4 linked regions of the Saccharomyces cerevisiae S288C genome follow. The gene in region 4 interacts genetically with the main gene of each other region. Each region holds a gene or a part of one and is shown on either strand. Other genes may lie near its edges. The genes, in order: MTC1, IRC20, FUI1 and GDH2.

Region 1 (4,990 bases), on a different chromosome or scaffold from region 4:
AGTACATGTCAGATTTATGGAAATCGTAAACGATACCATGGCGGGCCATTTTTTTACCTTTGTGGGTTTCCTCTTTAAACCTTTTCTCATCATTTTTTTGCTTGGTCAGCCAAGCCTCCTTAAATGGTATGCGTTCCATGGCCTCAAGGGGTTGATCTTCTTTATCGATGTCTACTTCGCCTAACATGACAACATTTTCACCACGAATCATGAATATGCCGCGGTCTTCTTCAGCGTATTTGTTTTCTTCGCTAAAATATATTCTCTCCACGCAATCTTGAAGTATCAAATTTGCATATTGGTCAAAGGTTCTTAGTACACCGAATAGCATTCTTCCATCACGCAAAAGAACGAAGATTTTACGGTCTACTGAGCTTACAATAGCAGCGGTGGTAGTGAAGTTATACTGGTCGAGATATAAATCGGCCTCACCTTCTGAAATCTTCTTTGGGAAATTCTGCTGTTGTCGCTTCGCATCCTGATTGGACTGATTTCTGTCCTTGCTATTTGCAGACATTTTTGGTGAATTAATTCGATTCGAGGGCTGCTTTCTTTTATAGGTTTTGAAAGCGGAGCAAATGTTGGTATAACTCTACTGCAGCGTTGGCAATCCTGTTGAAAAGGAAAAGAAAATATAACTAAACTGTGTTACTTGTATCTTCACTAATATTTAATCAGCCCTTGGTCATACAGGCTTCCCCTAGATTGAAATACAGGTGCTGAACACCGTTGTATATTCACGACTTCCTCTATTTTTTTCATATTTTCCATTATTCAACGAACGCGGGTAACAAGTCGGCCGAATTTGAACCCACTCCTCTGCGCTTGTAACTTTATACATCATCGTTACGCTATAAATGTTATGTATTAAGTGTATCAAAGACCCATACGGTCAATGACATAATTCTGTGCCATGACCCCAAATGACAAGCTTAATCCATCTTCGATCCATTCCTTTACCCATTCACTAGGATCAATGATCTCATCGTCTTCGTCTTCGTCTTCACTTTCTTTTTGTTTCTTTTGATCGTATGACTTATTCCTCTCCTCACTTGCTGTTGATCCTGTTTTCTCCACGGATCCTTCTAGCCAATTGACCCATTTGACAGGGAATCCTTGTGATCTTGTTATGGTGGTAATATCGTTAGTTATGTCTTTCAATACAAGGGTGAAATTGAAATTGCCTGGCGTATTGGAGTCGGTCACTTGAAAGTCACCGTCGGCATCTTTTTGTTTTTGCGGAATGGCAATTGGTAAGATGGATATGAATAAATCACTGATTTTATTGCTGTTACTGCTAATAGAACTCCTATCGTCATCTGGAGTGGCATCAGCCTCTTTCTGTTGTTTCTGGTATTCCTCATGTGCAGTATTGAAGAGTTTGACTGCATTTTCCAGGTTTGCAAATGCCAGTTTCTCACCGTCTGTTACCTTGCCGTCGAATAGATTAAACTGTAATTTTTTTTTAGAGTTGCCTAACTCACCGTCTGCAACTGAAGGCTTTTTTTCCACAGGTGTAATTCCATTATTGTTAGGATGGCCCCATTCATCTACAAATATTCTGATTCCTCCCTCAACTTGTGAGCTTAGAACTTGATCAAACTTGCTTTCAATATTGTATTGTAATGAGGGATAGTTAACCAAATCATGGACTAGATGAATTCGCAGCACCTCTTCAGTCTCACCAACAACGATTTTCTGTAAGTTTCTGGCTATTTCAGTAATCGTGCTCGTGTTTATCTTTGAAGTCAAATCAAGCTGTTCTTGGGCAAGTCGGTTTTTGATCTGGGATGCTTGTTCTGCAGTTTTATTCCAAATACTCGATACCTTTGCGGATCCAGAGGAGGACCACCAGTTTGAAATAGAAGCAATTGGGTCATGCAATGGGGTCTCCTCCTCCTCCTCTTCTTCTTCTTCTTCTTCCTCCTCTTCTTCTTCTTTCTCCTGCTGCTGTGGTTCCTTTTCCTTTCCGTGAGCGTCCTGCTCGGAATTTTTGTTTTCTTTTGATTCTTCTACTTTTTCGTCTTGTGCTTTATTATTAACTGATTCACTGGGAGCCTTCTTTTCAACCCCTTTCTTGTCAGTTAAGCTTAAGTTACTCTTCTCCAACTCTTCTAAGAATTCAAAGATATCATCGTCACCTTTCTTTCCATCATTCCCGGTCTTGCCCGCCACAGAATTAGAACCTCCCTTAACGCCTTCTTGGCTACCCTTTACGTCAGTATTAACCATTTTCCCGCCATTCTTTGCTTCTGGCAAAGAATCTAAAAATTCAAATACGTCTTCAGCCTCAGAGTTCTTATTTTCAGACATTTTGCCCTGGTAGTATGTATGTTTTTAATCGATTGAGTCTAGTTAACCTGTCCCTTGTTCTATTCTTCACCGTCTCGTCCAACTTCCATCAAAGAACCAGAAACCAGAAAATCGCCGGTTTCTTCCACGCGTCAATCCGTTTGGAATGATCTCATCGCAAAATTTTTTTTCGCTAAAATTTTCATAGAGAGTATCAATATTAATATATGGTTATAACTTATGGCGGCATTAGTCGATGAGGTGCTTGCCGAAGAGACTAGCACAGCCAACCCATAATGCCTTCTAAAAACTCCATCAACAGACCTAAGCTGACTTCAAATTTGCACCACAAGGTGCACTCTTTAAATAAGAAAAGAGCTCAAAGAGAAAGAGCTGGTCTCTTGAAGCCAGCTAGATCCAGCGTAAATTCGAAATCTGGGGAAATAAAATCAGTAGCGTTGGACCTATACTTCCAAAACAAGAAGAACGAAAGTCAGAATTCCACTGCTGTGACATTACAAAATGCTTCATCTTCTCCGGCCTCCATCACCACGAGGACACTTTCCAAAAAGAGAGCTAAGAAAATCGAGAGAAACTTAAAATATGCTACACAGAGAAAATTATTGGTTGACGCAAGCGCTAAGCTAGAAGACGAAATGGATATTGATCTAGATGGCGGTAAGAAAGTGAAAGAGAATGAAAAGAAGAGTTCTTTGACTTTGGTTAAGGAAGCCTTATGGAGTGTCATTGACGATACTGCATCCCAGGGATTGATCATCGAAAACGGACAAGGCACCACCCTGGGCGGCCCATTTTTCCCATGAGTTAGGCACTTACGTATCTTGTATAGTAGGAATGGCTCGGTTTATGTATATTAGGAGATCAAAACGAGAAAAAAATACCATATCGTATAGTATAGAGAGTATAAATATAAGAAATGCCGCATATGTACAACTAATCTAGCAAATCTCTAGAACGCAATTCCTTCGAGACTTCTTCTTTCATGAAGGAGATAACATCGTGCGGGTCAGCTGCAGTGAAAACACTGGTACCAGCGACAATAACGTTGGCACCGGCTTTGGCGGCTTTCGGGATGGTCTCCTTGCCCAAACCACCATCGACTTGGATATTCAAATGGGGGAACTTGGCTCTCAAAGTTTCCACTTTTGGCATCATGTCTTCCATGAATTTTTGGCCTCCAAACCCAGGTTCCACAGTCATAACAAGAGCCATATCCAAATGAGGAGCTAGTTCAAATAAAACGTCAACAGAAGTACCAGGTTTGATGGCGCATGCAGCTTTGATGCCCTTAGACTTAATCAACTTAACTAAATGCAAAGGGTCTTGTGTGGCCTCGTAGTGGAACGTAAATTGGTCAGCACCACATTTAGCAAAATCGTCGACCCATTTTTCAGGATTTTCAACCATCATGTGACAATCGAAGAACGCAGTGGGCTTCTTTTCTGTGTTGCTAGCATCGCCAGGGCGTGGCACAGAACGACGTAGGGAGGTAACAATTGGTTGGCCCAGAGTAATGTTTGGAACAAAATGGCCGTCCATGACATCGATATGTAACCAATCTGCGCCGGCGTTGATGACCTTATGACATTCGCAACCCAAGTTGGCGAAGTCAGAAGCAAGGATACTGGGAGCTATAATTGGTTTGACCATTTTTTCTTGTGTGTTTACCTCGCTCTTGGAATTAGCAAATGGCCTTCTTGCATGAAATTGTATCGAGTTTGCTTTATTTTTCTTTTTACGGGCGGATTCTTTCTATTCTGGCTTTCCTATAACAGAGATCATGAAAGAAGTTCCAGCTTACGGATCAAGAAAGTACCTATACATATACAAAAATCTGATTACTTTCCCAGCTCGACTTGGATAGCTGTTCTTGTTTTCTCTTGGCGACACATTTTTTGTTTCTGAAGCCACGTCCTGCTTTATAAGAGGACATTTAAAGTTGCAGGACTTGAATGCAATTACCGGAAGAAGCAACCAACCGGCATGGTTCAGCATACAATACACATTTGATTAGAAAAGCAGAGAATAAATAGACATGATACCTCTCTTTTTATCCTCTGCAGCGTATTATTGTTTATTCCACGCAGGCATCGGTCGTTGGCTGTTGTTATGTCTCAGATAAGCGCGTTTGTTATGCGAAAAAAAAAAACTTTACAGAGGCTTTGTTTATATATAGAAAGACCACGAAAAAAACAGTGATGGCTTCATGCTTTTCAGTTTCATTATTGGCACGAGTAGCAGTCGTTGAGCCCATCAGAGTGCAACTTTGGTTAAATGTCGTAAATTGTATGATTGAATCATCCATGCACCAATGTCCTCCACGGGATCGCCACTTTTTTTCTTCATCACGCCCCATTTTGTTGATCCGACGTTCTGTATCAACTGTATACAGATTCGTTGCTTCTCGCACCACACAGGTTTTACGTGCGGCCAAGACCGTTGTCAAGTGGTTCATTATTGTCGACCCACTGATAAATTCTATTCTAATCAATTATCTCATTGATAGGCTCTGCACTCTTGGGCATGCTGTATTGCGAGTGAAAAAGCGCAAGACCGAGGAGAGACAACCCTGTTCTCCCATTATACAACACACACACGTTAAGAGACGCAAACGGCCTCGTCTGAGGATCGTAGCCATCAAGAGGAAGCGGAGGCGTCGAAGACCACATCGCATCGA
Region 2 (8,270 bases), on a different chromosome or scaffold from region 4:
GGCATACCCAAAATGGTTATAAAGTGCTGGTCATTTTCTTCTATTATTTTTGGGTCATAACGCTAGCATCCTTTATCAGAACAGCCACTAGTGATCCTGGCGTTCTTCCGAGAAATATTCATTTAAGTCAACTAAGAAATAATTATCAGATCCCGCAAGAATATTACAACTTGATAACACTACCAACACATTCTTCAATTTCAAAAGACATTACTATCAAGTATTGTCCATCATGTAGGATATGGAGACCACCTCGGTCTTCTCACTGTTCCACATGTAACGTCTGCGTAATGGTTCATGACCACCATTGCATATGGGTCAATAATTGCATAGGAAAAAGGAACTACCGGTTCTTTTTAATATTCCTGTTAGGTGCAATACTTTCGTCCGTCATATTATTAACTAATTGTGCCATCCATATTGCACGGGAATCAGGGGGGCCTCGCGATTGTCCCGTTGCAATATTGTTACTTTGCTATGCAGGGCTAACCTTATGGTATCCGGCAATACTGTTTACTTATCACATATTTATGGCAGGTAATCAGCAAACAACAAGGGAATTTTTGAAAGGTATTGGATCGAAAAAAAACCCTGTATTCCATCGTGTGGTCAAGGAGGAAAACATATATAATAAGGGGTCCTTTTTGAAAAATATGGGTCACTTGATGTTAGAACCAAGGGGCCCAAGCTTTGTAAGTGCCAGAAAGCCACATGAAGCTGGAGATTGGAGATTTATGGATTTATCGCCAGCACACAGCTTTGAAAAAATACAGAAAATATAAGGAAGTATAGATATAAAGAACTCAGCGACACAGTAGTACGTAAAATATAAAAAGGTTACTGAAAGGAGTGAATTCCGCCATAGTATAGGTTGAGTATACGCAAATAAACGTTGGAAATTGGCTAGAATGTTAAAAAAAACATTCATTAAAAGGTTCTTTTCGTATAACTTTTACAACAAATAAGTGGTTGTTTGGCCGAGCGGTCTAAGGCGCCTGATTCAAGAAAATATCTTGACTGCAGTTAACTGTAGGAATACTCAGGTATCGTAAGATGCAAGAGTTCGAATCTCTTAGCAACCATTATTTTTGCCTTCCGAAAATTTTGAAGCTACATATTAGCACTCTTCTTCAGATGTCAGACAACGTGCAGCATCTTTTTTTCCTACCATTGAATATATATATAGTAATTACGGCAACCGTTTATATAAAAATTCAAAAGATTAAATATTTTAATATATTAGTGTCTGGTTTAAAAGTCATACTTCTCTAATCACTACCGTGAAAAAAGCAGTTCCATAAGTGTTCATTACTGACTTCTTGGTCTACCACGCTTATCTCAAACTTCGCATCATCGCTTTCCTCATTATCCGTTTCATCTTGTGCTTCGTCGTATTTATCGCCTTTTTTTGACTTCTCCTTTCTTTTGCGCTCTTCGAGTATACATTTATATCTGAGGATGTTTTCTTCAACGGTATTTCTGATCATGAAATTCCACACAAAAGTTTCTTCATCTTGTCCTATACGATTATTCCTTCCCATAGCTTGTAATTCATCACTATTATTAAGGATAGGATCTAGTAGGAAAATATGTTTTGCATTTATCAAATTCAGGCCGGCACCTAAAGTTTTCACATTCAAAAGTAGGCAAGTGACGGAAGGCTGGCGTTTGAAGTTATTTATAGTTTCGCCAACATTGGCTGTATTAGATAGACATGCCAAGTGTTCAATGTGATACAACTTTAATACCTTACCAATGACCTTTAAATATTCTGTCTTTTGAGAGTATAGAATAACTTGTGGCGGATCAGCGTTTTCCTGCTCACTTTTTAGCCTCAGGTAAGATATTAACTTGATGACGAAATCAATCTTAGCACCAAAACTTTCCTTTATGTGAATTTGATGGACTTCATTAATTTGATGGAATTGCTCGTATTTATTTCCGAATAATTTTTCTACTTCACTCATATTGGATATAATCGAGTTTTCATTTGAATTATCTTGAGACGAATCGGCGCCCTCTCTTCGTGGCTCTTGAATTTCTTTTTCCCTCTTCTCCGTTGAGTTCTTGAACTTAAAGTTATAGACTTCCGATATACTACAGAAACCTTTGCATATAGGGCATTTACTATGGGCTCGTAGCCACGTAAGGATACAACTCTTGCAAAAATAATGTCCACACTTAATGATAGCACCTATTTCAACTTCTCCCAAACAGATAGAGCAGCTCAATATTTGATTATCGTTTAATGTGTCTTTCAATCTGGACAAATTTTTTAAATATATCAGCCGTGATTCAATGTTATTGATTTTTGCATCTAGTGTACCGCCCAATGACTTATTGATAGTTCTTATTAGATGGCTGAGTTGTGGAGCACTCAAAGAGTGCAAGGACACCAATGAATCGGAAATCCTCTGTAATTGACTATAATATTCCGTCTTGGCATTATAAATCGATCCCAGGATTTTCAAAGATTCTCTTACCTGTTTATTGTACTTAAACAGGCTTTTACTTTCAACTTCGTACTGAAGTAAGTAGTCCTCAAAATTTTGAATGGTAGATTCACTTTCATTGCTTGAGGATATCCGTCTTACTATCCTGCTGTTCTTCAGTTCATCAAAAACAGTTCGTAGAGGTGTTCCTGAAATCAAGCGCAAGCTGTTCAATAACTGCTTTTGATATTTTGAAATTATTGAACCTTCCGGTACCAAATGCTTCGGAATTTTAACTTCTGATTCTGAAGTTAAAATATTGTCCCTATTCTGTAAAATTATCTCCAAGCAACCAAGAAGACTGAATATCTTATCTTGACTGTCAATCGATGTTGAATATTCTTCATTACCGATAATTTTATTAGTGCTATCATCGTCCTCTGTCCTGTGGACAGGTTCATAGATAATAATGAGTAACTCATCCAATAACTCGTTGAAGTTTTTAGTTTGTTCATTCAACCCTTCTATCAACTTACTCAAAGACTTGAAACAACGAGATACTGCTAAATTAGATGAGTAGTCATTTTTGTGGTCAAATTCAATATTGATTAATCGCAAAGGTATATTGCTCGTCATAGGAGCAAACTTAGTTCTGGCCATTTTAATAGTCATATCAACTTTTCTAGCCTCAGAGGAGAGGATTGACTTCCTCAAAATTTCTGCATTCGCATAATTTTCTTGTTCTAAAAGTCTATTCTCTTCAATTTCCTCTAACTCATTTTTTGGAAAAACATCAGAATACACCACTTCTTCAGTCTTCTCTTTTCGATGCTTGTCGTCCGCCTCTTCTAGCTTACGAGTGCCCAAGTTATAGTAAACAGAACCGAGGAAGAAGTAGCAATCATGCAGTAAATTCATCATAGCACGTAATCCTTTCTTCTTCAGGTGGTTGGATAACATTCCGTCATTGTTGTGATTATCATGGTTTTTAGCACCATTTATTTCTCTATCGCTTTCGTCGCCTGAAGATGTTTCCTTCTCACCAAACCTCTCGTCCATATGTTCGTCCTCATCTTCACTGAGGTTTAACGACTTATCAAACGGATCCTCAACGTTGAATTTTTGGCGTATGTGTATCATCAAATCATCTCTGATTTTGATAAATGATTCAAGGGCTTTGGCCGGAGTATTGGAAATTTCAAGTTCATACTGTGCCTGCTTGATCGATAAATGGAATCTCTCTCTGTAATAGCCAATTAAACTGTCAAATGCATCCATTCGCATGGATATTAAGATATCGTCTATATTTGAAATTCTTGACAAGTGCCCGTGAAGGCGCTTCTGTCGGGTACTTAAAATTTCTGGAAATAATGCATGGCAACATATATATCGCAGCCTAGACAACCATTCGTTTAAAAAGGCATTGCTTACACGGGGTGATCCACTGCCATCCGAATTATAGCCACTCAACTCTAAAAAATTGTTCCAAAGATTTAAATAGTTGTCCCACTCGATAGGCGCAAACTCCAGGGGAATGATGAAGTTGTGTTGCCGCGGAATATGAATCTGAGACGCAACATTGGCTTTCGAATGCCTTATGCAAAGATCATACCTGTAAAAAATGTTCATACAATCCTTGATAGAAAACCGAACGCCCTTTAATTGGCATACAAAATCATTACTAGTGTAATCTTTAGCCTCATTTCTTAGTTTAATTTCTTCTTGAAGTGTCCGAATAAAGTCTACCTCATCACAAAATGGATGCAGCTTTAAATAAGACATGATCATCCTAAAGTTGTAAATGTTCTGTATTGGAGTCCCGGAAACACCCCAAGTGTGTATTCTATGAAGTAAACTCGTGCATTTTGCAGAATATGTTGATGAACTACGTAGCATTTGAACTTCATCCAGAATGATTCTATAAAACTGCATCAAAGCTAACGGTGAAGAATAGTCATACTTTGGGCTTTTCAACCTTCTCGATCTGATACTACGGTTAAACTCAGCATGATGGACCTCCGTGGCAATAATGTTATATGATGTAACTATAATATCGTATTGGCACAATTGTTGAACAGCTTCGTCCACAGTTTTGCAATCTTTCATTATCTCATTATATCCTCTATAGGTATACCATTTTAAGGAATTTGCGTGTAATTCGATTTCTTCGAGCCATTGTTTTAAGATAGCATTGGGACAGATAATCAAAGTCGTCTTTGTCTTCGTGATTGTTCTATTTTCATCGTCAATAAATGTTGCCTCTGAGTCCTTCAATTTCCTTCTATTTAAGAGTATTAGTGATAAAATTTCAATAGTTTTGCCCAACCCCATCTCTTCTGCTAACACCCCCTTTGCACAAACTGGGTAGTCGCCGCTTAACCTTTCCTTCCTATATTGGTTGTACAAATGTGCAGCATCTTCTGTAGTTAGAATATATCCTGTTAATTTGTTCCATAACAATGATGGCCCTACCTCGTCAGGGCTGCGTGCAATGAGCTCGTAACCGTATGCATAGTACTCGTTCATAAAATCTATAAGCCCTACTTCGTCGATGACTGTAGGTGTATCACTAAGAGAATTACCATGCCCTTCTTTAATTAGCATCCACTCAACGCTCTCTCTTTGAAATGGTAAGAGGTTAACTTTTAGGTCTGGTATAGATTGGGGTAAGAACGGTTTGATCTTTGATAGCCTATCTTTACTATATTCCAAGATTTGAGAAATAAATTGTTTTTGAATGAAGTTTGAATGGATATGGCTGTGCTTGTGATATCGCTCAAATTCGTTCTCGTCCCTATTAGAGAACGTCAAGTCCAGTATTTGGTTAGCCTCCACGGAAAACCGGTTGAATTTATTATTTAAAAACTTCAACTTCAAATTAAAAGATAAAACCCATGTTAAAGAGGAATCATTGTATCGGAATACGACTGGAGAGCATTCAAAATCTTTGTAGGACAAAGATAATTCGTGTATACGACTTTTTAGTAATTTTTCAGGATCGTTAACATTTGAATTTTTTTTTCTTCTCTTTCTTGATGGTTTGCGTTCTAAAGATTTACGATTTTCTAACTGATTTCGTAGGGCCCTTTCTTGGTTTTTATGAGCACATATATCCAAGATCAGCGGAAGTTGTTTGTCAACAGCGATTTTTGAATTGTTCTCCATTTTAAATCCAATTTGAAATAAGGATACGGAATCTGACGACACAACAAGTGTTGCCTCGTTATCATTTTCACAAGGTAAGATCTCTATATCAACAATAAATTTAAATAACTGCCTACCGTTGTTGGAAAGACTTATTCGCTCTGGTATTTCGATATTTACCGAGGCAACGTTGATTAATTCTTTTCCGTTCTTGCTAACTTTTTGAGTTACAGTCTCTTGTTCCTGATTTAGCGCTGGCAATGCTGCTATCACTGAATCAAAAGAACCATTTTCTAGGAAAAAGTCGCATTTTTCGGCAGTCACGTTGTACTCCCTTGCTAATAGCGCACCTACTGCAGACATTTACCGTCGAATAAGTTGGCCTTTCCTGGAGTTCATTCCTTTAGACAGCGCCTAGAAAGTGGCAAATCAATACATTCATCAGCCACATTTCATCAGCTGTAGATCTGGAAAAGACGGGTAGCAGTTCGAGTGTTCCGAAAAAGGAAAAAACGAGCCTTATCCTTGGTCAGAGATGCGAGCAGGTAATTCCTTGAGCTCTCATAGGAGTGAAGCTATCCCAGACTCCTTGGATGTCCCTGTATTTGCGGTCAAGTTTGTTCTTTGACTGGTTCGTCATTTCGAGCTCACTTAAAAACAGGAGTTATTCAGCTACATCTTCAAGCTAATAAAACATCCGTTGCGCAGGCACTCTTTTTAGTAGTTGCCATTTCCTTTATTCTTGAAAGTACGAAGGCTGAAAAAGAGCCACTACGATCCAAAAAATCACCGTTAGTTTTAGTCGTCCACGAGTACGTTGGCATAAAGTCTAGTAATCTTTTTACTTTATAGCAATCAAGAGAAAAAAGGAGGATAAAGGGACATTTATTTGTTATTGTTTTTTGTTCTTTTTAAACTTTTTTACTGGCTAGGTTTAAGGTTATAATTATAAATCCAGTGATTAAGAGGAAACCTCGTCAAGAATCCTAGATAATAGTAATCAGCGACAGTTATTTCAACGAAGTCAAACTCTATCTCTGGGGCTTTATCTCTCCTATTGACATCTAACTTTTTACAAACGCTTACTAGAAAAGACGGATCGGCCAAAGAAAAAAAAAGAGTGACATCGAAAAAATTAAAGAAAATAAAATCCCAGATAGTTCATACGTTATTTGAAGTACAAACATTTAACGATTGGAAAAGACGAAAGTATTGTTAAGAGTACTGCTTATTTAGAGAGGATCAAACAAAATCTCTTCGATGCTTAAAATAAAGGCCCTTTTCTCGAAAAAGAAACCGGATCAGGCAGATTTGTCTCAGGAATCTAAAAAACCATTCAAGGGTAAGACCAGGTCAAGCGGTACAAATAACAAAGATGTTTCCCAGATTACTTCTTCCCCTAAGAAAAGCTTTCAGGACAAAAATATAGTTCAGTACCCGAGTGTTGTCGCAGATGACCATCATATGAAGTCTTTAACCGATGAATTAGTAACCACGATAGACTCGGACTCTTCACCGAGTGATAATATTACCACGGAAAATGTGGAAACAGTTACTTCCGTGCCAGCTATCGATGTCCATGAAAGTAGTGAAGGTCAATTAAGTTCCGACCCCTTAATATCTGACGAATCTCTTTCGGAACAAAGCGAGATTATCAGTGATATCCAGGATGACAGTACTGATGATGACAATATGGAAGATGAAATTCCGGAAAAATCCTTCCTCGAACAAAAGGAATTGATAGGTTACAAGCTGATCAATAAAATCGGTGAAGGTGCTTTTTCAAAAGTCTTTAGAGCCATACCTGCTAAAAATAGTTCTAATGAATTTTTAACTAAAAACTATAAAGCTGTTGCCATTAAAGTTATCAAAAAGGCAGATTTATCCTCGATTAATGGTGATCATCGTAAGAAGGACAAAGGGAAGGACAGCACTAAAACTTCTTCCAGAGATCAAGTCTTGAAGGAAGTTGCACTACATAAGACGGTTTCCGCTGGTTGTTCACAAATTGTCGCGTTCATAGACTTCCAAGAAACAGATAGCTATTATTATATTATTCAAGAGTTACTAACCGGTGGGGAAATCTTCGGCGAAATTGTTAGGTTGACCTATTTCAGTGAAGATTTATCAAGGCATGTAATCAAACAATTAGCACTGGCTGTTAAACATATGCATTCACTAGGTGTAGTGCATCGTGATATAAAACCTGAGAATCTTCTTTTTGAACCGATTGAATTCACACGCTCTATAAAACCAAAATTGAGGAAATCGGATGATCCGCAAACAAAGGCAGACGAGGGAATTTTCACACCAGGAGTTGGTGGTGGTGGAATTGGTATAGTAAAACTAGCTGATTTTGGTTTGTCTAAACAAATATTTTCCAAGAACACCAAGACTCCTTGTGGTACAGTCGGTTACACTGCCCCTGAAGTTGTCAAAGATGAGCATTATTCTATGAAAGTGGATATGTGGGGGATTGGTTGCGTTTTGTACACAATGTTATGTGGGTTCCCGCCATTCTATGATGAGAAAATTGACACTTTAACTGAAAAAATATCAAGGGGTGAGTATACCTTTCTGAAACCTTGGTGGGATGAAATCAGCGCCGGTGCCAAGAATGCCGTGGCTAAGCTATTAGAACTAGAGCCGTCTAAAAGATACGACATTGACCAGTTTTTGGACGACCCATGGTTA
Region 3 (5,407 bases), on a different chromosome or scaffold from region 4:
GCGCAAGTTGAGGCATAATCAGTAAGCAATGAATCCGTTTAGAATCTTAGGTATGTTACTATTTGGAGTTTCATGAGGCTTTTCCCGCCGTAGATCGAACCCAATCTTACTAACAGAGAAAGGGCTTTTTCCCGACCATCAAGACAGGTGATTTATCACATCTAACCAGTATACTGATCCTGATTCATAATATCAAGACCACAAGGTACATTGAAGGTATTTCTTTCAAGACCCAAACGTTGTACGCTTTGGTTTTCATAACACGATACTTGGATCTCTTGACTTTTCACTGGGTATCCCTATACAATGCTCTAATGAAAATATTTTTCATTGTATCTACCGCTTACATTGTAGTGCTATTACAAGGGTCTAAAAGAACCAACACCATTGCGTATAATGAAATGCTTATGCATGATACCTTTAAGATCCAGCATTTACTAATTGGGAGTGCTCTAATGAGTGTTTTTTTCCATCACAAGTTCACTTTTCTTGAATTAGCATGGAGTTTTTCTGTATGGTTGGAGAGTGTGGCTATTCTACCTCAATTGTACATGCTATCTAAGGGTGGGAAGACTAGAAGTCTAACTGTTCATTATATTTTTGCCATGGGATTATACAGAGCATTGTATATTCCTAACTGGATTTGGAGGTACAGCACGGAAGATAAAAAATTGGACAAGATTGCCTTCTTCGCGGGACTTTTGCAAACTCTGTTGTACTCTGATTTCTTTTACATTTACTACACTAAAGTCATCAGAGGAAAGGGTTTCAAACTGCCAAAATAAAAAAAAAACCTGTTTTAAATAGTGTTCGCAGCAATATATACAAATTTCAATATATCAATGCTATACCAAAAGAAAAAAAAAATACATAAAATTGATGTTGATATTGGTCTATTTCTTTTTATACTATGATATGTATGCATTAATCTCTTTTTAGCTCATAAAATTCTTTCCTTACACCATCCTTGGTGACAATAAGGATTTCCAGCCCATCACCCACTTGTATATGTCTTTCTGTAGCAGAAGTGAACGAGTCTCTCACCAGTTTGATGACTTCTTCCACGGACAAGTATTTCAAAGGCTTTTTGACTTTACCGTTTGTACCTGGCTCATATTGATTTTTGAAATTAACCTGATTGTCCAAAAATGGCATGATCAATGATGCCGCAGCACCACCTGCTCTACACTGTTCTCTTTCGTAGGAGCCAACTGGGTCGAACGAATAGACAGCGCCCTTACCATCTTCGTCAAGACCCGCAATGATCGTATGAACGTAGTAAGGGAAAAACCTCTTCCCGTACAGAAGATGTTGAATGTTCCTTGCTGCAGAGTTTATAGATAGTTTTTTGTCGTTGTGGTCGAAATGGTACCATTTTACACTATTTTTGAATCTTTTTACTAAAGCGTCGCCGTCTGCTGCAAATCCATTCGCCGACATGACTATGTTATCACCACAATCAAAAACCTTGGGTTCATAACGAGAATTAATTGAGTAATCGGTGATATTTCTTGTATCGCCTGCTAACACTGCGAAATCTTCACCTGCAATGCCCAGGATTGTACCACCATTATCACCGTAAGGATTGAATTGATGTTCAATGGGTGTATTTGACGCCTCCGAAGAGTATTCTGATGCAATAGTGGCCATATTTTGTTTAACTTTATAGTTCAATAGTCTTGGCTACTCTCTTTCCAACTCAGTTCACCTTGTATTATACCGCTTGTTTTTGCCACCCTTTGAGTTTCCTCGATCCTTTAAGTTGGAAAAGATAAAAACAATTATCGCTCCGTACGAACACCAAATCTCTGCGACGCAGAGACGGCAATACAAAATCAGAAAAAAAAAACAATTTATTGCCTATGCTTCACTAGTCACAGGCTCTACGAAACATTGCTATCGCCTCACTGCCTTTACATCACTTAAGCAAGAAGTTTTAAATATTACGGCAATTCCTTTGCAGCAATACCTTTACTTTATTTCGAGAGAAAATAGATCGTAAAATGCCTACTCCAAGCTTTTAAATCAAGACTCAACCAAGCCCCCACACTTATCTTTAGAGACTAATGCCCTAACTCTTTCGACTGAACGGCTTAGAAGTCTCATGTCCTAGCTAGTTTGTCCTTGCGATGGGACACAAACGGCGCTGCCTCTCCTGCGGGCGATCAGAAAGAAGAAAAAGAAATGTGATTGAGCCATGCCACAAAGCGGTATGTGCCATTAATTTCTTTTTTTCTCCCCTTTCGCCTTTGAGTTTCTCCGCGGCGTTCACTGTGGTTGATGCTCGGGATTTGCCGGTTTCGTCCTTATCGCGCCATCTTTGCCATTAAAGGATGCTGCAATAAAACTTGGCGGTTCTCGCTACTGAAACTATTGTGTCAGCCTGGACAACACAGGGACATGTCGTATTTTTGAAAATTTTTGATCAATTCTCCAACGGAAAAGTTTTTCATTTCCTCTCTTGCTCAATTACTCGATGACATGCTATCCTATCTTTTATATAACAGTAGTATTGCTTCGACCTTCTTGTAAAATTTAAAACATAGTATTGGACAGCTTTGCTTTACTTTGCAGCACATTGCGGAAATAAAAGGCGGTAACTAGTCCTCTCATTCATTAATTCTATATAAGAGAAAATGCCGGTATCTGATTCTGGATTCGATAATTCTTCAAAAACAATGAAGGACGACACTATACCGACGGAGGATTACGAAGAAATCACGAAAGAGTCCGAGATGGGTGATGCGACTAAAATTACTTCTAAGATTGATGCTAATGTCATTGAAAAAAAAGATACCGATTCAGAAAACAATATAACCATTGCTCAGGATGACGAAAAGGTGTCTTGGCTGCAAAGAGTTGTCGAGTTTTTTGAGGTTAAGAATGACTCTACCGATTTGGCCGATCATAAGCCCGAAAATCCAATTAGGACATTTAAAGATTTACAGGAGTCCCTCCGTTCGACGTACTTGTACAACACAGATCTGCGGCCCGTGGAGGCAAAAAGAAGAACGTGGACATGGAAGCAGTACATTTTCTTTTGGATTTCTGGGTCCTTTAACGTCAATACATGGCAAATCTCAGCCACTGGGCTACAGTTAGGGCTTAACTGGTGGCAGACTTGGATCTGTATTTGGGTTGGATACACGTTTGTCGCATTTTTCTTGATACTGGGTTCCAAAGTGGGGAACAATTACCATATCTCTTTCCCCATTTCCTCAAGAGTATCATTTGGTATCTACTTCTCCATCTGGATTGTCATCAACCGTGTCGTCATGGCATGTGTCTGGAATTCTACTTTGGCTTATATCGGTAGTCAATGTGTTCAGTTGATGCTAAAGGCTATCTTCGGTACTAATTTGAATACTAGAATCAAAGACACCATAAAGAACCCCAATTTGACGAACTTCGAGTTCATGTGCTTCATGGTCTTCTGGGTCGCATGTTTACCGTTCCTATGGTTTCCACCTGACAAATTGCGTCATATATTTGCACTCAAATCCGCCATCACTCCATTTGCGGCCTTCGGTTTTTTGATTTGGACTCTTTGTAAGGCCAAAGGTCATTTGGCATTGGGTTCCCTAAATGACAATGGTGGCGCAATCAGCAAGACGGTTTTAGCATGGTCTGTCATTAGAGCTATTATGAGTGCTCTGGATAACTTCTCTACTTTAATCCTAAACGCTCCTGACTTCACTAGATTCGGTAAGACCTACAAGTCATCTGTTTACTCGCAATTGATTGCGCTACCCGTCTGCTATGCCATTATTTCCTTAATCGGAATATTGTCTGTCTCCGCAGCTTATACATTGTACGGAGTAAATTATTGGAGTCCCCTAGACATTCTGAACAGGTACTTGGATAACTATACTTCGGGGAACAGAGCCGGTGTATTCTTAATATCTTTCATTTTTGCGTTTGACCAGCTGGGTGCCAACTTGTCTGGTAACTCGATCCCTGCAGGTACCGATCTGACTGCATTATTGCCTAAATTCATCAATATCAGACGCGGTTCTTATATTTGTGCTCTAATATCGTTGGCGATTTGCCCCTGGGATTTATTATCATCATCGTCAAAGTTTACTACGGCACTAGCGGCATATGCAGTTTTCTTAAGTGCTATTGCGGGTGTAATATCAGCCGATTACTTCATTGTCAGAAAGGGTTACGTTAATATTTTCCATTGCTACACCGACAAGCCAGGATCGTACTACATGTACAATAAATATGGTACGAACTGGAGGGCGGTGGTAGCTTATATATTTGGTATTGCTCCTAATTTTGCAGGCTTTTTAGGTTCAGTGGGAGTTTCTGTGCCTATTGGCGCTATGAAAGTTTACTACCTAAACTATTTCGTTGGTTATCTCCTTGCAGCATTGAGTTACTGCATTTTAGTGTATTTTTACCCAATTAAGGGTATTCCAGGCGATGCCAAGATAACTGACCGTAAATGGCTCGAAGAGTGGGTCGAAGTAGAAGAATTCGGAACTGAAAGAGAAGCTTTTGAAGAATATGGCGGCGTTTCCACTGGCTATGAAAAGATACGATATATCTAAACACAATTGTTAACAACGCAAGTAGCACCTTATCATGATAATGTCAAAGCCAAAAAAAAAAAAAAATAATTTACTTATAATCTGCATAGGCCTCATCATATTTGTTGCATACATATAGACATATGCTTCTGCATAATCTCAAATTGTAACCTTTATTTTGTAAAAATAACATTACGCATGCTTGATTAGTTAAAAAAAGTCTTGTTTACCATAGGTCTTCAGTCTCGCACTCCTAATTTAAGCGAGTACGAGCAGCCTGGCCTAACTCATTTCTGTTTTCAAAAAATCCTTCTCACTGCAACGAAATAGCATTTCGTAAAAAAAAAAAAGAAGGTTTGGTTCTCAAGAGAGCTCACGCAAAATTTTTTCTTACGTTCCCGTAGAACTGATACTTGGACAACGCCACTTATCTGAGCAGAACAGGTCTTACCTTAGTCTCTGTAGTCTTATTTTACGTTTGAATTCGTAGTTTTATTGCGCAAAGTACCATATTAAAACTTTACTTTTCGCCTATGCAATAATCTTGTACATATTGAGTTATCGTGGTAAAATAAAAAACCTGTGCCGAACGCCGTTTTGGAGCATGGTATAGAGTTGAAAATGACTAATAAAAGGAACCGTTAATTTACCCATATACTGGGCGAAAACAAAAGGTTCTTTTTTTTTTTTTTTTTTTTTTTTATTTTATTTTATTTTAAACTAAAAACTTTATTTTGAACGTTATGAAGTAAGAATATATATATTTTGCGTTTGGTATTTAGACAAGTGGTGATGCACTAGTTAGTAATAATGATACAACAACAATGAGAAAAAAAAAATAGGATGCAGATGTGAATATGATAATGCAAAAC
Region 4 (6,549 bases):
ACATATGGATCTTGGAATCTCTGGTTCAAATCCTGGGTTTGGATATCTATATTACTTAACCAACAGTCGTAACCAGGATGTGAATGGAACCAGCCAACAACATTCAGTTTAGCGCCCTTGTAATCTCGCCCATCACCACCGTCATTATGATTATACATCTCGTCGATATATTGAACCATATATTCGTATGACTCCAATTGTGCATTTACGCGAGTTTCTGTCCCTACTACGGGAAGATTGAAACAATCCATTACAACAATATTATCTTTTAATGTGAACCCCATTAATATGCCCATGATTTCAATATTTCCTCCACGAACTGCATAATGGGTGATCTTTTCACATGATAATTTTGATATAAGTACGTGGGTGTAACTCGGAATATCTGTACTACTTTGTTGTTTTAGTTTAGTTTTGAGCAAGGAAGATTGGCTTAGCGCATGAAATTCAGGTTCTTGCGACGGCTTGAATCGCATACTTGATAGCGCTATAGATTCAGTTAGTTCATCTTCCACGGTGTACCTTTCCTTTAGTAGTTGTCGTAATTCCTTTACAGTCTTATTTGAAAGTGACATGCTGCCTCCTGCAGTTTTTATTGATTTTCGATCGTTGTTATTCATTTTTAGTTTATTTGAAAAACCCTTTAATAAGAGCGCTTCCTGCGTAGCGCGCCTTTCCTAAAGTTTCAGCTGAAGCATGGCTCCCTGAGGAGAACTGCCTAGTATAATGGATAACTCGAAGGAAAAAATATCAAATGCTTTTTTTAGATTAAAAATAATGGACATATAAACAACTTTACTTAGTACACAATAAAACGCTGAGAAGAACATACACATATGTTTAATTTTCTTTTCTGACGGCAGAACTAATTTATACAAAACAATTTTATTGAAGCTCAAGCACTTGCCTCCGCTTCTCTTTTTAACCCACCAATAAATTCCAAGAATTTTCCAATGTTAACATCGATACCGTTCTGGTAAACAAAAGTGCTTGATAAGTAACTCGACAGAAGAACTTTCAAATAGCTCTCTGGAATGTTTTCCAATACGGACTGAGGCCCAGCAACATCAATCAGAATTTTTGGAATTATTTTATCCAACAATAGGTAGTTTCTTAATTTTAGATCATTGAGCCACAACTCTTGAGAAGCAACTAGATCGTCGTTCAATTTGTTTATAGTGAAGGACAATTGGTTTGAAATTTCTGAAATGTGGGTTCCATTTAGTTGATTCAAATTCCATAACTGACCAAACTCTAATTCAGCATTTTTCTGAATTCTTGACTGCACTTCTACAACGTACGACTTGTACAACGCAGACCTCTCACCACTAACATCTCCAATAAATTTGTGCACGAAGTCGTTATCGTTAAGCGCTAGTGAGGCCAACACTTCCATTGATGAAGATGTGACACCACCTTTGTTTGCAGAAGCATCTTTGAACAGAATACAGCCATGTTCCTCCAAAGCATTTTTAGCAGGTTGCGTTATAAATAGATTGGCACCCTCCACAATATATGGAATTTTACATTTCCCAGTCTTTTCGTCAACAAAATAATGTAGATTATTTAGAGTAATTGAGTTTGGTCTACCACCGCATGGAACAAAAATGTCGACATGATCCACAAATTTGAAAATTTGAGTATGAAAGGTGTTTCTGAAGGTTGTGCCGTTAGCTACAATTGTACCATTTGGTAGCATGATATCCATTGCATCCACAGAAACAAAAAATCCGTTGTTTGATAATTTGGAAGTGTCGAAATCGGAAATCATTTTCCTTTCATGTGCCAAGCGGCATAATTCATCTTTATCTAAACCTTTAGGATCACACAGGACACCTGAACCGTCCAGAATTGCCAAATAACATTCGTTTGGCGAAGATAAAAGAATTTCATTGGATCCCAAATCACCATCCGGACCACCAGTTTGGAATTTGTAAACAGTAGAATTTGTCAAGTTTAAAGTTTCGTAAATTTTATTAACATAAGCACGAACACCCAGAGAAGTCATACCATATTCGTCATGGGGAATACCACCCAAAGATGGGGATTTTCCAGTCAAAAATGATTTCCACCATGGGCAGTTCCTCACACGAGCATGGTTAGTTGCCCAATCCACGAAACCAGCAGTTCCTTCATCTGGGCCAAAAAATAATATTTCCTCCTTTGGTAAAAGGTTGACATAGTTTTCCTTTAATGGATCGTTGATTAGAATGTCAATCATTGCATCCACATATTGGGAAAAGGCGACAAATGTCTGGTCATGTTCTACCAATCCTGGGTTCAATAAGATGACACCTTTAGAGCCACCCTCTGGAATATCCTTATTTTTACGTTGCTGAGTAGAGGCCAATTGATAGTTCTCATCAATAACGTTCTTGGAATTCAAATCATAAATATCCTGATTCCTGGAACAGACTATACGAATACCGCCCCTTGCGATATCTCTGAACCTGATATGGAACCCTTTGAAAGTATTACCAACGACAAAAAATATACCATAGGGTGTCTCTGGATATTCGAATTTTGTCATCACCAGGGAAGGATCTAATCTGAATGATATTGCTACTTTTCTTGTAATAAAGAAATTTGTCTTCAAAATAGACTTGTTGAAGATGTTCAGTGTTTTCAGGATCAACAAATCAGGTGAATCATTTGGAATGAATTTATTCAAGTAAGCTTCGAACTCTTGGTCATTCTTAAAAGGCTCCACTTTTTCCAGTCTTTGAAAAGATAATGTCTTCTCCATATCTTTAGTACTATTATGATAATAGTGAATTTGAGCAAAATTTTTATACAACTTGGAAATTATAGTGTAATGCTTCGACATGATGTTGATAATAGTTTGCTGAGTTAAGGTTTCATTTCTTAACTTTCTTTTTAGGTTTTCTACAATCTCCAAAAGAGTAGTATCATTACGCTTAATGGTGATTTGAGATAAAAGGTTTTGATAATCAGAGCCTAAACGATTAACAAAATGGTTAATGAATATAGCACCAATATGAGCATATATAGCTTCTTTGGGCGAGAATTGACGTCTCTGGTAAACCTCATGGAAAGAATTGTTTGGGATAGCGTATAGCAATGAAGCTTCTCTTTCAACCTGTTTCAATGCTGCCTCCACATCGTGAAGTAGAACATCTTCCAATTGCTGGTTCTCGTTCAAATAAACGGAAAAGATAATGATGTCATCATCCTTAACATTAAACGACTCTAAATAGAACTTAGAAGGTTTCAACTTGTAATAGTGGAACAAAGAGTTCAAAGCAGAGTAATAACGCTTAGTGGTGAATCGCTTGTAAGCGACTAATAACCTAATTTCATCCTTATTTTCTACGGAGCGAGTAGTCTTAATGACAGGACCTTCTCTTTCTTTAACCAACTTAAGTAAGAGACCGTATAGTTTTTTATTTTCGTTCGACGAAACTTTGTACATGGTCTTATCACTAATCGATTCAATATCACCTTTCAGCAAATCCTGAGAGGAAATATCTACGCCGGCTGGATCATCATTAGGGTAAACACTCTCATAAACAAAAGTTAGCTTTAATTCGCTTTCTGGAGCCCAAAAAGAAACTAATCTGCAGTTTTTTTGAGACTTGTTATCCAGGAAAAGGTCATCAATTTCGGAATCTAATTCATAAGGTGGACAAGAATCATCCATTTCAATCCTATTTTTTTTGATGGTATCCTTACCATGCTCCAAAGTATCGTTTCCGACGGCGTCACTAGCAAATTTAAAGTTTTTTTGCTGAGAATCGCTTATGCTGACACCAGTATTAGATTCCATAAAGATGGCATGATTATCATTAGTTATAATTTTGTTTTTAATGCTGAATAGCCTTGGCTGAATTCCGTTGAATTTGGACTTCGCAAAGAAATCTAGCTTTGAAGCATACAAAGAATGTATGATATTCGAGATTAATTGGGGAGATTCTCTCGAGAAGAACAAATCGTCAATACCCAATGAGTTATAAAACCAATCTACTTCTTGTTCGATCAAATCGTCGGGAATAAACCCTTGCTGATCTAGCAAATCTATCACTTCCTCTCTCTGCAGGTCCTTACCGGGAAAATCAAACACGTGATAGTCCGACATGGATGATATTGATAAAGAAGCAATATCTGGTGTGTTCAGTGAGTTTAAAGCACCGCGATTTTTGTTATCAAAAAGCATTCTTTATTCTTTTTATTGTTGTGAATTTAATATCCTTGTTTTGTATGTTTTGTTGAGATCGTGACAATCACAAAAAGGATTATACCAAAAGGTAATGTATTTTTTAGAAACCGGTTGTTCTTATATAACAAGAATTCTGACTAAACAGCAGCAATGAGTAAACGCTTGTCAGTGTTGATGTCGACAGTATAACTTTTGTTATTGTTATTGATGCCGCCGTTGACTCGTAGTTACTTGTCCTACTCAACTATTAATGTGTATTTTTACCCCAATTGCTCCTTGTTGTGGCACGCCGTCAGGCAGTATTAAATTCGGTCCTGCGGAATCGCCGCACACATAGCCGCCAGATGGGTAACCCTTTTCAAGCGGACTTGGTTTTCCGACGGTAAATAAATAAATAAATGACAGATTAGATTAGATATAGTCGTATTTTCACGTATATGTACCTATGGTTACAGTGCTGTAAGTATTACTTGCGTAAGTAAAAGCTGGAGCATATGGCCAGTATGACATTGCTATTCTTCCAGTTACGTTCGCTGATGCAGGCCGCCAATGTGGGCGTATCGTTGATCGATGTTTGTATGTATGTGATTACCTTTGTTTATTATTCGAAGCGATGCCTCATTTGGGCTTGCCGCGCCCACAACTTGACACGTTTCTATTTCTTTGATCCAGCCATCTTGTAATATTCCGTTTATGGTAATTCTTCTGAAAGGTGAAACTTCCAGTATACGCCTCATTATTTTGTGAGTTTCTTCTGGTAGTCTGTGCAGAATGAAATTGGGACCCATATCAATGACTCCTTCTTCGTAGCCATCATTATCATAATTATTGCTGTCATCGGTAGCAGGCCGTGTCACAAGATCTTTAAAAGATGACACACCTCTTCCGGAACAAAATGCCTTGAATTGAACATCTTTCACTTTGGGATATTTCCAAGGAAATCTTCTCGTTATCATACAAAAGAATATTATCCCCACGGACCAAACGTCAAGTGCTCTTGGATCGTACTCATTGAAATAAAAGACTTCGGGTGACAAGTAGGGGTCGCTACCAACAATTCCATTTGCTTCAATCATCTGTGAAGACAATGGATAGTGGAAGACACTGGAAGCGCCAAAATCAATCAATTTCAAGATTCCCCTTCGTGTTACAACGCAGTTGTCTAGCTTCAAATCACGATGAGAGAGACCGATGTCGTGCAAATATTTTACGCCGTTGATCAGCTGTTTAAAAAGACAGCATATTTCCTCGTAATGCATCTTTTCACTCATAACCAAAGAAAATAAATCATATTCGCAATACTCGAGAATTTGGAAAATTTTACCTTTCTCATACAGTATTTCCAATGTTTCACAAATATTTGGGTTCTTCAATGTGGAGGCAATACAATATTCAGAAATTATGTTCTTGATGTATTTTCTCTCAGATTCCCTTTTTTTCTTTGACCTGTATTCCTTTAATGCAAAAACTTTATTATCCAGGACCCTTTGGACCAGTTTCACTTTACCACCAGAACCTTCGCCGAGAACAACGTCGAGATCTCTATATTTCCTGGAAACCAAGTCAGTGGATGCTTCAATATTACTATATAAAGCCTGAATAATCTGATCTCTATCGCTGTCTTCATTCTCGATCATGAGAGAGAATGATCCAGTTGAGACTGGCGAAGAAGTTGTTTCCTTCAATGATGATGATATAGCGCAATCATCTGCAACTGTGCTTTCCTGGTGATCGCATGAGTTACTGTTGTTATTGCTAAAAGACGTTATTTTGAAGAGCCTTTTGATACTTGACAATGACGTAGTATAGGAGTGTTTTCTTATATGGGCCGTGCTTTCAGTGTCCTCGATATGTCTTGTATTTACTTGCACTGCTTCTGAATACGTGTCGTCGAGAGGATTCGTGGACAGTGAAGAGACCGAATCTTCTAGAGAATATACACGAGTAGTGAACATCCTCTCTTCCTCATAAACATTATATTCATGTTCTGTGGAGGTGCATGCAATCTCATCACATGTCGCCGTGGCTGTCGTGACTGGAATATTGTGACCGATAGTATTAGAAGAATTGTTGTTATGCTTGTTATCACTGATATCATTCGCTAGATTTTTTTTGGTACTACTGCTGTTTTTCTTTGATGTAAAGAAAATTAATTTGCCATAACTTTTGGGTAAACTTAACGAGTTTGAGAAAGATGACGTAAAATCGGTAGAATTTTTCCTCAATCTTCCTTTAGGAACAATAAATCTTGCTTCAACCTTACTGACCATGGGAGAGGAAATAATATTAGAGTCGATTTTAGATATGTTTTCGGGCATCTTCGTGTCAATTTTCTCCATCCAGGAAGTGGTCAGCTTTTGCACGTCCGTGTT

The links.
Region 1: mutations in GDH2 (region 4) and MTC1 together harm fitness more than expected from each alone (negative genetic interaction), as found in Saccharomyces cerevisiae (2 studies listed by BioGRID).
Region 2: mutations in GDH2 (region 4) and IRC20 together harm fitness more than expected from each alone (negative genetic interaction), as found in Saccharomyces cerevisiae (2 studies listed by BioGRID).
Region 3: mutations in GDH2 (region 4) and FUI1 together harm fitness more than expected from each alone (negative genetic interaction), as found in Saccharomyces cerevisiae (2 studies listed by BioGRID).

Annotation. Positions count from the first base shown.
Region 1 is NC_001142.9:187,128-192,117, forward strand, and holds MTC1 (DUF5427 domain-containing protein MTC1), read right to left. Parts: upstream 2,314-4,990; coding exon 877-2,313; downstream 1-876. Other genes in the region: LSM1 (Lsm1p), read right to left, coding at 1-517; ALB1 (Alb1p), read left to right, coding at 2,589-3,116; ribulose-phosphate 3-epimerase RPE1, read right to left, coding at 3,247-3,963; YJL118W (uncharacterized protein), read left to right, coding at 4,512-4,990. UniProt on the Saccharomyces cerevisiae protein: Involved in telomere capping.
Region 2 is NC_001144.5:627,416-635,685, forward strand, and holds IRC20 (E3 ubiquitin-protein ligase IRC20), read right to left. Parts: upstream 5,940-8,270; coding exon 1,269-5,939; downstream 1-1,268. Other genes in the region: palmitoyltransferase ERF2, read left to right, coding at 1-782; serine/threonine protein kinase RCK2, read left to right, coding at 6,837-8,270. UniProt on the Saccharomyces cerevisiae protein: Is probably involved in a pathway contributing to genomic integrity.
Region 3 is NC_001134.8:137,490-142,896, reverse strand, and holds FUI1 (uridine permease), read left to right. Parts: upstream 1-2,636; coding exon 2,637-4,556; downstream 4,557-5,407. Other genes in the region: ERD2 (Erd2p), read left to right, coding at 29-50, 148-785; PRE7 (proteasome core particle subunit beta 6), read right to left, coding at 925-1,650. UniProt on the Saccharomyces cerevisiae protein: High-affinity transport of uridine.
Region 4 is NC_001136.10:69,745-76,293, forward strand, and holds GDH2 (glutamate dehydrogenase (NAD(+))), read right to left. Parts: upstream 4,175-6,549; coding exon 896-4,174; downstream 1-895. Other genes in the region: COP9 signalosome catalytic subunit RRI1, read right to left, coding at 1-575; serine/threonine protein kinase PRR2, read right to left, coding at 4,702-6,549. UniProt on the Saccharomyces cerevisiae protein: NAD(+)-dependent glutamate dehydrogenase which degrades glutamate to ammonia and alpha-ketoglutarate.